Linked DNA regions of Drosophila melanogaster. The protein of the gene in region 1 purifies or fractionates together with the protein of each later gene. This does not show direct contact. Each region holds a gene or a part of one and is shown on either strand. Other genes may lie near its edges.

The links.
Region 2: the proteins of mts (region 1) and mei-S332 purify together in Drosophila melanogaster (affinity purification with mass spectrometry; 3 studies listed by BioGRID, with this or other methods). This does not show direct contact.

Annotation. Positions count from the first base shown.
Region 1 is NT_033779.5:7,825,730-7,833,834, reverse strand, and holds mts (microtubule star), read right to left. Parts: upstream 6,186-8,105; 5' UTR 5,784-6,185; coding exon 5,682-5,783; intron 3,374-5,681; coding exon 2,810-3,373; intron 2,367-2,809; coding exon 2,176-2,366; intron 2,102-2,175; coding exon 2,029-2,101; 3' UTR 259-2,028; downstream 1-258. Other genes in the region: Rack1 (receptor of activated protein kinase C 1), read left to right, coding at 6,666-6,774, 6,854-7,065, 7,499-8,105.
Region 2 is NT_033778.4:22,120,092-22,124,957, forward strand, and holds mei-S332 (meiotic from via salaria 332), read left to right. Parts: upstream 1-2,009; 5' UTR 2,010-2,109; exon of another isoform or gene 2,110-2,471; intron 2,472-2,811; 5' UTR 2,812-2,906; coding exon 2,907-3,383; intron 3,384-3,444; coding exon 3,445-4,173; 3' UTR 4,174-4,276; downstream 4,277-4,866. Other genes in the region: GM130 (golgi matrix protein 130 kD), read right to left, coding at 4,669-4,866. UniProt on the Drosophila melanogaster protein: Plays a central role in chromosome cohesion during meiosis and mitosis by preventing premature dissociation of cohesin complex from centromeres after prophase, when most of cohesin complex dissociates from chromosomes arms.

The sequences.
Region 1 (8,105 bases):
CCAACTGAACCCCCCCCCCTCCACGCTCCCCTCTTTTACAACTGAAAATCCAGCCCCAACTCCATGGCCTCTCCACAGCAGCCAGGGCGACAATTACCTCCCCCCAGCATCCTGTGGAGCTCCTGTTCTGGTTTCGGGTTTGTTGGGGCATGATAGATGACAAGTCTCGGTAGGTGTACGTATGGGTATGGTTGTTTGCTCGCCAAGTTCTTGGGCACTTGAGAGTCCCCATCCTCGATCCAGCATGTTCTCAAATTTAGATTTTCATCCAGACCAAAACTCATGTGGATACAGTGCCAACTGGCGGTGCACGAACTGCTTATCTCAGAATAATCCATATATTCTAGGGTTTCTACTATTGCCAAATGTTTATTATTTATATATCGTTTACTTTCTTGCTCTTAATATACTTTTCATTCGTATGCTAAAGTTAAATAACCAACTAAATTATCAGGAACATCAAATCCAATCGAAATAGTTTCCAAAATACTTTGTAAACAGAAACAATAGAGAGCGACCACTGTACATGACTTTTGACAGTTCGTGTGGGCGGCTGCTAAAATATGCAAAAATTTATACAAAGTTGGCAAGATTTTTGCTTTCGCTTTCGCTGGGAATCAAAGGCAGCCCGGCTCTGATTTAGATTTTGACTTGGGCATCATTGGTTGGCTGGCACCACGACCTCCGTCCCTTCTATCTGCCCTCTGCCATCCATCCATATATCACCTCCCCCACACCCATATCGCCTCCTTTGTGGTCTCAATTAGGTGGCCCGTTTGAGGCTCGACTTCCGCTCGTCGTGGTGGCCTCGTGTTAACTTGGCCATGTTCGCATACACACTACCAAAGGAGCCCGCAGGCCAAAAGGGAGCGTCATTGCCAGAACGAAAAACCAAAATCGTTCGCATGGGTCTCTCTTAAAGGACTTTCTCCCTTGAACGCGCGCTCTTCGATGGCTCTCTTCGTCGGCAGGTGGGAATTGTTTGTTTGTTTTTTTTTTCTTTCTTTTATTATTATTAAAGTTACATATGAACTTAATTGATAATGAATTTTTTTTAATCATTTTTCTTTGCTTTTTTGTTTGTTTTTTAATAGTTTTATTCGCTTTTTTTTATTTAATTTTAATCAGTAATATTAAATTTGTTGTATTTCCTTATTTTCTTTTTTATAATTTTTGTTTTTATATAAATCGCTGGCCCGCCCCGCGCTTCCCCCATCGCAATGGCGTTCGCTGCTGCTCCTGCCACATACTGCTCCTACTTTTTTGCTGCTGCTTCATCGTTATCTTCCTGCTTTGTCGGTCGTGGGTCGTCTGCTTCTGCTTCTGCTGCTGCTACCGCTGCTGCTTGCTTATGCTGCTACGTCCTGGCGTTCGTCCTTTCGTCCCGTTTAGTCCTTTGTCAGCCCCTTCCGCCCACACACACATCACGTCATAATCCATGAGTCCATCCATCCATCACTCCTGCTCCCTGGCTTTCTGCTGCGACGCTTAGTTCGTTATTTTTATAAATTAACAAATTTAGCTAAGTAGTTGTAGTTCTTCTTGTTGCTTGCGGTTTTGTTGCTTGGTTTCTGGGTTGGTTGGTAGGTTCGATTGGATTGTATCATTTCTGTATACTGCTTCTCCTTCTGCTCCTCCCCTTTATCTTTGATATAAATTTTCTGCCTGCCGCCCCCGCTGGCGACATTTCCGGTTTTTTCCTTTTCTTTTAAACTGTGGCCAACAACAATAACTGTTCAATGCATTTTTGTGTTCTCGACTGTTATGGTTACTTTTTTTTTCTTTGTTTATACAATATCTCTTCCACTGCTCTCTGTTTAAAACGACCTCCACAAAACAAATGCATCGAGGTTTTTAGTTTTGGGTTGTTTTTTATGGTAGTTTTTTTTTCGACAGCACTTGCCATTTTGTTTATTTTGTTGCTGCTGGTTGGATTTGTATATATTATATATTGTTTCGGTTCTTCTTGTTGTTATAATGCGATGTAATATGTGTAAATGTAAGCTGCGTAGGTGCGAGCAATCCAGCTTAAAGGAAATAATCGGGTGTTCTTCGCGTAACATGAGGCTCCCCGCGCCTGGGTGCTGGATCAAATTGTAGGCTAAAATAAATGCAAACGATTAGATTAGTCAGACATGCCGCATTTAAAGGCAGCTCAAGCGAATTGCCACTCACAATGAAAATTTAAGTGAATCATCCAGTTCCATAAGAGCCGCTTGGTTGCCACAGCGGTAGCAATAGTTTGGCGCTGAGAATATTGTGACCACATTGCGATCGTGACACCAGTTGTAGCCCTCCATCACCAGCTGATGGGCGCGCGACACCAGTGTCAGGCCGTTTGTGTTGTTAAAGGTTTCCGAAATATCCTTCAAATAAAATGGAAATATTAGTAAAAATGCTTATAGAAGTAATTGGCTCTTTCTCAATGAAATTCGATTTGGATAGTTAAAATTTGTTTTGTAGTTGACGGTTTGAAATGTCAAAACAATTTATAACGAAAGCTCTTTCCATTGATTGCGTTATCAGTTGGGCCTATATCAGCAGTAGACTTCGATTACTGATTATTGATTTTCATCAAGTGCATGCCCCGATAAAATTTCCTATTAAGATCAATAAAAAATTTATCTAGAATATATTTGCATGCTTTTGAGCAGACAATTTTTGTTCAGCTTAGTTTTAATCGGGTCTTCAGATGTATTTCACTTAACAATTTTACAATGTGATTAAAGAATAAATTTCCAAGTATCCAAGCTAGGCAAATCAGCTCCGAATTTTATTGAGAAATAGCCAACATGCAGACAACACTCACCTGGCCAAAGGTGTAACCGGCGCCACGAGGCGAGATTCCCCAGCCACCCCTGTCATCGGGATCGGACCAGAGCAGATCGCACATGGGACCCTCGTGCGGAACCTCCTGCAAGCGATCGAGGGCCCGAATGTGATCCAGACTGTCGATCGAGGGACTGAGGCCTCCGTGCAGGCAGAAGATCTGCCCGTCGACGAGTGCCGTCAGTGGCAAGTAGTCGAACAGATCCGTGAAGTACTTCCAAACGTTGGCATTGCCATACTTGCGCAGGCACTCGTCGTAGAAGCCGTACACCTGTGTGATCTGGCGCGACTCGTGGTTACCGCGCAGGATGGTGATGCGCTCGCGATAGCGAACCTTCAGGGCCACCAGAAGGGTCACGGTCTCCACGGAGTAGTATCCACGGTCCACGTAGTCGCCCATGAACAGGTAGTTGGTGTCCGGAGACTTGCCGCCTATCCGGAAGAGCTCCATGAGGTCGTGAAACTGACCGTGGACATCTCCGCACACTGTCACCGGGCATTTTACCTCCTGCACATTGGACTCCTTGGAGAGAATCTCCTTGGCCTGTAAAGAAATGGAAACAGTAGACCAATCAGCAATTTATTTATGGATATTTTTAGGGAGATACGTTTTAATGTTACCTCCCTATTCGAATAACCGAATAAACAACTTTGAATACCAATATTAAAATACTGATTAACATAATCTAGCCCAAATCGTTTCCAGGGTCAGAAAAGATAAATAAAACGATTAGTACTTTGTACATTATTCACTATACTTAATGACTCAACGCCAACACTCAAAGTGTACTCTAAAAATAGCTTGTAACTAGAAGAGAAATTAAAACAAATATATTGGATAAGTGCATGCGTTTTTTTACAGAGAATCGAGGGAAATAAATATCACTTGTTCTCTTTAAACATCCCACAAGAAATTTTAATGGCATCAAAACTCAATCTCTTGGGTAATTCTGAAAATAGCTTCCCGCAAAACCCTATAAAACTGTGTACCTAAACATTGCTACTTCCTATAAGAAAAACATAAACATGTAGCAAAATTTCCGGAAATTACAAAACATTTTTGTTACGTTTGTGTGTAAATAGTTAACCAAATGAAAGTAATATGGAAACTTTGATGTTCTATTTTTTCACCTGCCATAATTCGGTGAATGGTGAATGACATGACAGAATATCTGCGAAACAGAAAGTACTGAGAAAACCGAAAGTGATCCGCATGTGCGGATGATAAAACCTTGTCAAAGGCCAAGGTTATCCGTCAAGATTTGGTCAACAAGCGAAGAACCTCAACTATTTTCTCATCGAATTTTGCGTCAGTTGCAAACAAGTTTAAGTTGCTAATATAAGCTGTATGAAAATCAAAACAAAGGAAGCAAAGCTTTTTAATAAGTTGAGATAAGATGAACGTACGATAAAAAGTTGTCCGTATAAACATAACAAATTCACGATTCTGGAAAGTATTCTATCGTCTTTAGTAAAATAAAATATGAAGGTCGATTCAAAAATTCCCGATGGGCGTCAATATACAGCATCAAAAAAACCGGTTTTTACAAACATAAATGTGCCAAAATGAGCAAACAAAAATTGCACATTTATTTTGACCATTCCGCCGTGTTCTTTGCGAATTCTTATATTTATCAGCTGACGAAATGGGACATGACAACAAGTTCCGGGGGTAGAATCCGGCGGCGCAAATGAGCGATTTGTGCGTGAGCCAATTAGATTTTTTGCCATATGCACAGCATTACCTTGGAGGCTGTTGCTTCCGCTTGGCCAGAAATCGAAAAAAAAAAAAAAAGAAAAATAATTTTTGAACTCATGACGAGGCCAGCGCACCCATACAGATGCATGCACAAACACTGATGCAGCTTGTGCTCTCTCCGCGTACTCTCCGCTTTTCTTTTCGTAGCAACGGGAAGGATGGAGAGAGGCCGCAGAAGACGCACCCGAGAAGAGCGAAGAACGTTCTTCTCGGAGGGAGAACGGAGATTCAAGATTCTAATGGGAACACTGACAAATATTTGGGTGACGCAAACATAACCCCACTTACTCCTAAATCAATGAATCGTTATCTGTTCACCCTCTCTTTTTCTCTCCCTCTCTTGCACTCTTTTTGCTTGTCTGTTTGTTTGTGTGCGCGACGCGCCTGATGAACGGTAAAATCGGCAAATTAAAAACAATTGATATCAAAAGTGTTTAATTGAACATGGTTGGTCATAAAAAAAGGAACACAAACACCAATGCAAGTGCATTATTCTAGAATTGAGATACGACGGTACATAGATACATATTCTAGGGGCGCGCACACACCGACGCACAAAAACATTAAGTAATATTTACTCAGCAACGACAAAACGCGCATGAGGTTGCACGGAGCGGGGGTGCTCAGTTTCCGGTGGACACAATAACAACAACATTAAACACGCACAATGCACTTTAGTTAAACAATCAAATTGTACAATAATACAAAAAGAAATATCTCTTTTTGCCCAGGTTTAGCCCATTAGACCAAAGCGCTGTTCTAGCTGTCGCATTCACGCACGCACTTGCCCGTCCCGTTGTCCCGCTCGCACTTGTGCGCGGCAATGCGGCGCTTGGCTGTTGGAATTTACCAATATTCCAATATGGCGACGCAAGCCGCCGCTACTGTGCGAGCAAGAGGGCACGACATGAATCATGCTCTCGCGCTCTCCGCTCAGCGCCTCTCCCCATTGGAAAGAGCGAGAGGGCCAGAGACACGCAGCGTTGGAGCACCATTTGCAAAAAAAAATCGCTCGCTCGCATGCAATGACGAAAATTATTTTTATAACATCTCCTAATTCGCATGGGGAAAATGGGCAAGGACCGGGCCTTACCTTGTCGCAGAGGGTGCGAACTTGTGTCTCTGTCAACTGATTGCATTCGTTCAACTGCTCAATCCATTGATCAAGATCTTTTGTTGTTGCTTTATCCTCCATCGCAGTTGTGGTGGAAGAAAAAGTCTCGTCAATCTTTGTCGATTCAATTTTGACGGCTTTTATTATAACTCAGGGGTGCAGGAAAATTAGCAACTACTGTTGCGTTCGATTGCCAACCGCGTATTCACTCGTTTATCTCCACACAATTGCCAATCGAATCAACTCGATTTGGGCGATTTTCTTCGTATTTTTTGTTCACAAAAGAGACGACGACACGATATACGAAGGGAAAGACTGCCCTCGGTGTGACCGATTGCCGCGAAACGCTTAAGAACGCGCTGTGTGTGTGTGTATCGATTAGCGATGCATGCTTGACATTTCTACAAAAATACCGACTAAAACTTGTGGATGGTATCCTTACTATTTGGCCAACAGTTACCAAGTAAAACTAGAAAATAAAGTGGGATCAACGCTCACCGTTTTTTTTACATTATTACGTGATAGTGACAAAATAAAAGTATGTACATAGGCATTTGGGCAACAAGATATTGGGATTGTTTTAAAATCCTTTAGTAGTCTTTTCATAGATGTGCATTAGCGTCGATTATTTCTTAAATAATAGCACAATTTGTTTTAAAACTAAACTTCAATATTTCTGGGGTTCTTTAGATATAATAATATTAATACTTGGTGTAAAAGTATTTATTTTTTTTATATATATTTTAAAGTTTTTGATATTATTATTTGACGTTACATTTTACACGTATTATTTGTAACAGAAAATTCAAACTATCGATAGTTTTGTCCTGTCCAACACTGAACGCTCGCTGACAGTTGGCATCTTAGCGAGCACTGGAACCGGAACTGCCTCTTTTTCTGCCAGCTTGCAGCGCCTTTGGACGTGTTTCCTTCGCGCTCCGTAGCAAATAATATAAACTCAAGATGTCCGAGACCCTGCAATTGCGCGGTACCCTCATTGGCCACAATGGATGGGTCACCCAGATCGCCACCAACCCCAAGGATCCCGACACCATAATTTCGGCCTCCCGTGGTAAGTAATCGCCATTGAAATTCTTCGGATTTATCTGGTAGCACGTGCGTATATTAATGGCCACCATCTCGATTCGCAGACAAGACCCTGATCGTGTGGAAGCTGACCCGCGACGAGGACACCAACTACGGCTACCCCCAGAAGCGTCTCTACGGACACTCGCACTTCATCAGCGACGTGGTGCTCTCCTCCGATGGCAACTACGCCCTGTCCGGATCCTGGGATCAGACCCTTCGCCTGTGGGATTTGGCCGCCGGCAAGACCACCCGTCGCTTCGAGGGACACACTAAGGTGGGATAAGATTCCAATTGCATTTAGTTCGTTTAGGGAACTGAGATTTTGAACCGATCTGTACCGGCAAAAGGCTAAATGTAAGGTTAGGAGTGAGGTTAGGCCCGCCTTTGCCGCGTACAAATCGAAAAAATATATATTGCGCCTATGCGAGGCAGAATTACTGGTTGACATCTGTACGACGTACGCTTCACCCTTCGCTCGAGTCTCGGCTATAAATTGCTTGAAGCTCCATCGTAAGTAGGCAAACAATCTCTGATACCCATTGATTCCTAATTAGTTGCAAGAAACCCATCTGGATTCCGTTCACTGACTAATTGAGTTGGGACTATGCCCATTCAGTTGGTCAGTGAAATATCCAGTAAATATATTATTTTTATGAAAACCATACCAATACCATTAGCTAATCGTCAAATGCTTGTTCGCTTTCTAGGACGTTTTGTCGGTTGCCTTCTCGGCCGATAACCGTCAGATCGTGTCCGGCTCTCGGGACAAGACCATCAAGCTGTGGAACACCCTGGCTGAGTGCAAGTTCACCATCCAGGAGGATGGCCACACCGACTGGGTGTCGTGCGTGCGCTTCTCGCCCAACCACTCCAACCCGATCATCGTGTCCTGCGGCTGGGATCGCACCGTCAAGGTCTGGAACTTGGCTAACTGCAAGTTGAAGAACAACCACCACGGCCACAACGGCTACCTGAACACGGTGACCGTCTCGCCCGATGGCTCCCTGTGCACCTCAGGTGGCAAGGACTCCAAGGCCCTGCTGTGGGACCTCAATGACGGCAAGAACCTGTACACTCTGGAGCACAACGACATCATCAACGCCCTGTGCTTCTCGCCCAACCGCTACTGGCTGTGCGTGGCCTACGGACCCTCGATCAAGATCTGGGATCTGGCATGCAAGAAGACCGTTGAGGAGCTGCGCCCCGAGGTCGTTTCGCCCACGTCGAAGGCCGATCAGCCCCAGTGCCTGTCCCTGGCCTGGTCCACCGACGGCCAGACTCTGTTCGCCGGCTACTCCGACAACACCATCCGCG
Region 2 (4,866 bases), on another chromosome or scaffold:
GCATGGGGCTCGAAACTGTAGTCAGAAATCGGTGTGCTGGAGAGCTCACTGTAGTTTTATGATTCAGTTCCAGGTTGCACAAGGAAGTGCAGCATAATTCAGCGTCATAAAGGCTGACAGAAACGACCGACTCTCTCTCTCTACTACGTGCCAATCAGACCTCGTGTGATGCAGTGCTCGAAAAATGCACGACAGCCAATTCGACTGACAAATGGCCGCACACAAGGCCGACAAGTGCCCACTCCCCGTGGCCATAAAACCCCATATCCACACCCCGTGCCCCACACACCTTCACCTCCACCCTCCCTTCAATCACCAGTCTTTGCGTGTGTCACTGCAGCAGCACTCGATATTTCTGTGTGTACTTGCAGTGGGGCATGCACAACAGCCTCGACAATAGACCGGCAGCAGGCAGACTCCTGGACGGGATGCCATGGAATGGGACGTTGGGATGGGTCGGTGCCATGTGCCCACCGCTGCCATGGCCTACGCCACGCCAATGACATTGAACCCGGCGACTGGGACGACCCTTTGTGCCATGCATAGCATTACGGAAAGGAGCTCGAAGCCCATTCACACTTGTGGATGGTTTAAAGAGCGCACTAAATTGGCCACGAGGGTTATTTTCGGTACAGAGAAAAGAAATTACTTATAACAACTTCTATAGTCTTGTATTTCAATGTTTTGATATCTGTTTTCCACCATCGCAGAGTAGTAAAGCATTTTAGAAATGAGAATATAAACAAGACGTTCCTCGACTATCAGATATTCGTTGCTCAGCTAATGGGAGTGCTGGACAACTGGAACCCGGACACCGGTACCACGACACCAGAAGTTGCACGCTTAAGCTAAAACTTGTGACTAACTCTACAAGTAATAAATCTAATGTAAAGATTGCGATTGTATGCCTCTTCAAATGGCTATAGTAAGAGCCCAGATTATGTCATACCATCGAAGTTCAACCGCCACAATTCGCACTCACATCGCTGAAGGGAGCCAAGCGAATGAATCAACCCCTAGTCAGCGAATTTAGTTTTCGTCGGCCGTCGAGCAATGCACTCTTTGTAGGTCAGTTATGGGGTGGCATGGGTGGCCACATGCTCCATGGGTCTTCGCTGGTGTTGCAACACTTGGTGTCGTCATGCGTCGCGTGCCCGGGCGTTTTGCTTAATGTGATTAAGACAAAGCGACAACAAACCAAAACAAAGTGCATTCGCTGACGGAACAGGAGAAAATCAAAGCGACCCGAGTTTATTGCACCCCTTTTAGCCGGTTAGACGGTGGAAAAGGCTTTTCGTGTTCTCCGACACAGGAAAAAATAAATTTCATGCAAGCTCAAATATTAAATCAAATCGGGCAAGACATGGACTGTCGGCTATACTTAGAATATATGCAAATAATGGTGATTAATCTGGAATATGGACATATGAATAAATATTATAAAAAGTCTAAATACAGCTGCCTACTAACGCTGGTATGTGTTTGTTTATTGTGTACCTCGAGGCTATAAGATATAGCCCCATATCTTGGAAAATGCAATTTTACATACACACAACCATTAGTCGCAAATATCGTGGCGAAATTGTCGGAGGGCGCGATAAGATAATTGCCTACATGGAACTGGTACCGAAGAGGTTCCTGAACTTGCCATAAATTACCAAATTTCTGGGCACCGTGCGAAATAGAATTGATAAGGTCGCTCGATAAGTCCGTACCACTTCGGATTCTGAGTGCTGAGTGATGCACTCAATCGACTAAATGGGTACAAAGCCAAACGAGTTGGATTTACAAACAGACTCACCTTGAAGCGGGTTTCGGTTTTCGACTGCGGTCGTAGCTTCTGTGAATGAAATTCTCGGTTCTCTGGGCTGCTGGCTGTCTTCGGTGTTTCAGCAGGTGATTGTCGTGATTCTCTGGCGGAGATGAAACAGCATAGCAAGCGGTTCCCTAATGTATTTTTCCGAAACTATGGTGTATAATCCGTATCCGTGTTCCTAAGTTAAGTTAATCCGCGCGCTAGATCCGTCTATCGTTTTTCGAGTGCACAGGTGTTGCATGTGATGTGTATCGTGTCCTGTGAGTGCGGGGGGAAAGTCCCTCCCACTGTTGGTAAGAATTGTAGAAATGTGTAAAAGCCTGGCTAAATGCCTAAAAGACGTACAACGACGATACAAATCCGACTGATTTTCATTTTTACACAAACACACGCACACTGCGACAGCACACTCTCACTCACGTACACGCACGCACACACTGCCAGGTGGGCTGACTTCTGATTCAGTGCGATTTTCGCGTTCTGCAAGGTGTATCTACAACCTCCCGAAACGCGTATTCACTTCGATTTCCGGGTTCTAGCGCTGCAGCATTGTTTATCTACCACGGATATCCAGATTTTCTTCGCAATCGGTCGAGAAAACAATAAATTTATTGTGCAGCTTAGAGGTGTAAGAGAAACATAGACGTATCGATGTCTCTCGATGGTTTGTGCCTATCGAAATCGGTGTCCCGCAATATACACAGCTTCCACTAAGCGAAATTTTAGCATTTTGGCATACGTGTAGAATTTAAATGGAAAATTACCCTTGGTAACGCATGTACGATCAAATTCGCACCAACTCAACGGTTCCTAATTCTTGTCGTGCAAATGAGACAAACAAATTTATAATTATTAAAATAAAATATATTCACATCGGATTGTATTGTTTCTTATATATATGGCCCAAAATTAAAGAATTTCATTTTAATTAAGAGCATGGTCGGCGTTGCCATACTTTCAAAAAGTTTTCCTTAAGCTGGGGTATATTCCAATAGCACAACAACGGTCACTCTATTTCAAAATTCAAAACAAGCTATTGGCGTCGTCTGTCTGGATTTTGTGTATGGAATAAGTAGATCAGAAGAAGCAAATGGGATCCAAAGTGGAGCAGCAGTACAAGCTGCTGAATGCGGAGCTAATGGACCAAGTGCAGAAGCAGCGCTTGGAGATCGGCGAGTACAGGAAGCGGGTGATATCTTTGGAGCGAGAGATCATGGACATTCGGGAGGAGCACGTCCTGCAAAACCATCGCCAGCGCATGGAGAACATCAGTATCGTACGCAGCCTGATGCTGAGCCTGAACGTGGACTCCGATTCCCTGGCAGTGCGTCAGGAGCCCGCTCCCGCAGCTCAGATAAACAGACCAAGCGGCCCGCGTCGCAGCTCCAGGGAAATCTGCAAGGACATGCGACGGACGTGTGCGTTGGCCCGCACCACCAGACCAATCTCGCCAAGAAGATCTTCCTCAGTGACCAGTACTGTATCGTCCACTAGTCGCCGCTCCAGCGCAGAAGTGCAGTCCGAGGTGGTGACCACTAGGATACCAGAGGATAGAAGAGCCAACAAGGTAACTTATACTTAAATTTGATTATGCTTTTCTTAACGATTCATTATCGGCTTGAGTACAGCCTACACCACCGCCACGAAGACCAGCGGAATTAGTGTTTGATGAGGACGACTCGGACGATGATTTCGACGAAGCAGTAAGCCCCGTGGAGGAGACACAGACTGAGCAAAATGAAGAGAACAATCGTCTGTTTAGCATTATAGAGGAAAATGGCAGTGAAGGGGAGTCCACAGACTCGTCATCATCATGCGAGGCCATCTATTGCGACACAACGTTTGAAAGTAGTCCGCCAAACGCCCAAGTCACCGTCACGCCCAGTGGACGGGCTCTGCGGGAAGTGGACACCAATATCCCTGTAGCAGTGTCCCTCAGTCGGGGAAAAGAGACTGGGAAGGGATCATGGTTGGCTATTTCCGTAGCTGTGGAAGATTCTCCACAGGAGCCAAGCATACAGTGCCCACGACTGGCAGTCACCAGGCCTAGTCAATCGTCTGGAATATTTCCTGATGTCAACGGATTAACGCCGCGAAGAAGCCTGTTCAATGGGATAGGCAAAATGGCCGGAAGCACCAGCACTCCGAAATCCTTTCTCGTCGAGGAAATGCCATCTATAAGAACTAGAAGCCGAACTGCGGCTAATAAGAAATCAGAAAATACGGATATGTCTAGTTCTTTCTGCAACAACAGCGCAAGGCCGAGTAGAAGCTGCAGGCCCACCAGTTTGGTGGAGCCAAGTCTGAAGAACAAGTTGCGCAATGGCTCGAAAGGCAAGGCCAAGGCCAAAAAGTAGATAGACGAATTTTTTAATAGGCTTTAATGTTGTTTCTGTAATTTCATTGGTTTTCAATACCACTTTTTACCATTTTTAATATGAATAATATTTTTAAATCGTCAGGCCCTGATAAGTTTAATTTATAGACTAAAAGCTGACATCGGATTACTTTTTGCCTGCAATAGAGGGCATATTCAGTTCATCCAGCGCTATCGGAAGGAAGACACTCCATCATCATCATCACCCAAAGATGCCAATAGGAATTTAAAAGTACGTCTAATTTTTACATGTTCATTTGTGAATAAAACAACGTTTCAATTAATTATTTGTTAATACGCTTTTAGGGGAACTCATTTTATAGATTCCTCTTAGATGCAAACTACGTTTATTCGCACAAAGTTGTTGGAAACATTTACAAAAGACTCTGAAGAACAAAGTACAATTACAATTACAATTAAATACAGTAGCAAAAGGGTAATGATTATACGTAGGTAGGCGATAATTGCACTTCTTTTAGACTACCTCGAACTTGCCCATACAACAGTTGAGATGGTCTCCTGCATGGTTGTGGCTTGGCTGCTCCGTGTTCTCCTTGATCTCGCTGATAATGTCCTGTATCTTGTTGATGATCTGTTGCGAGTTTTCACCTTCGCCAGGAGTGTGTTCGCTACCTGCGGCCGCTTCTGGTTGCTTTGCCTGGGCGGCATCTGC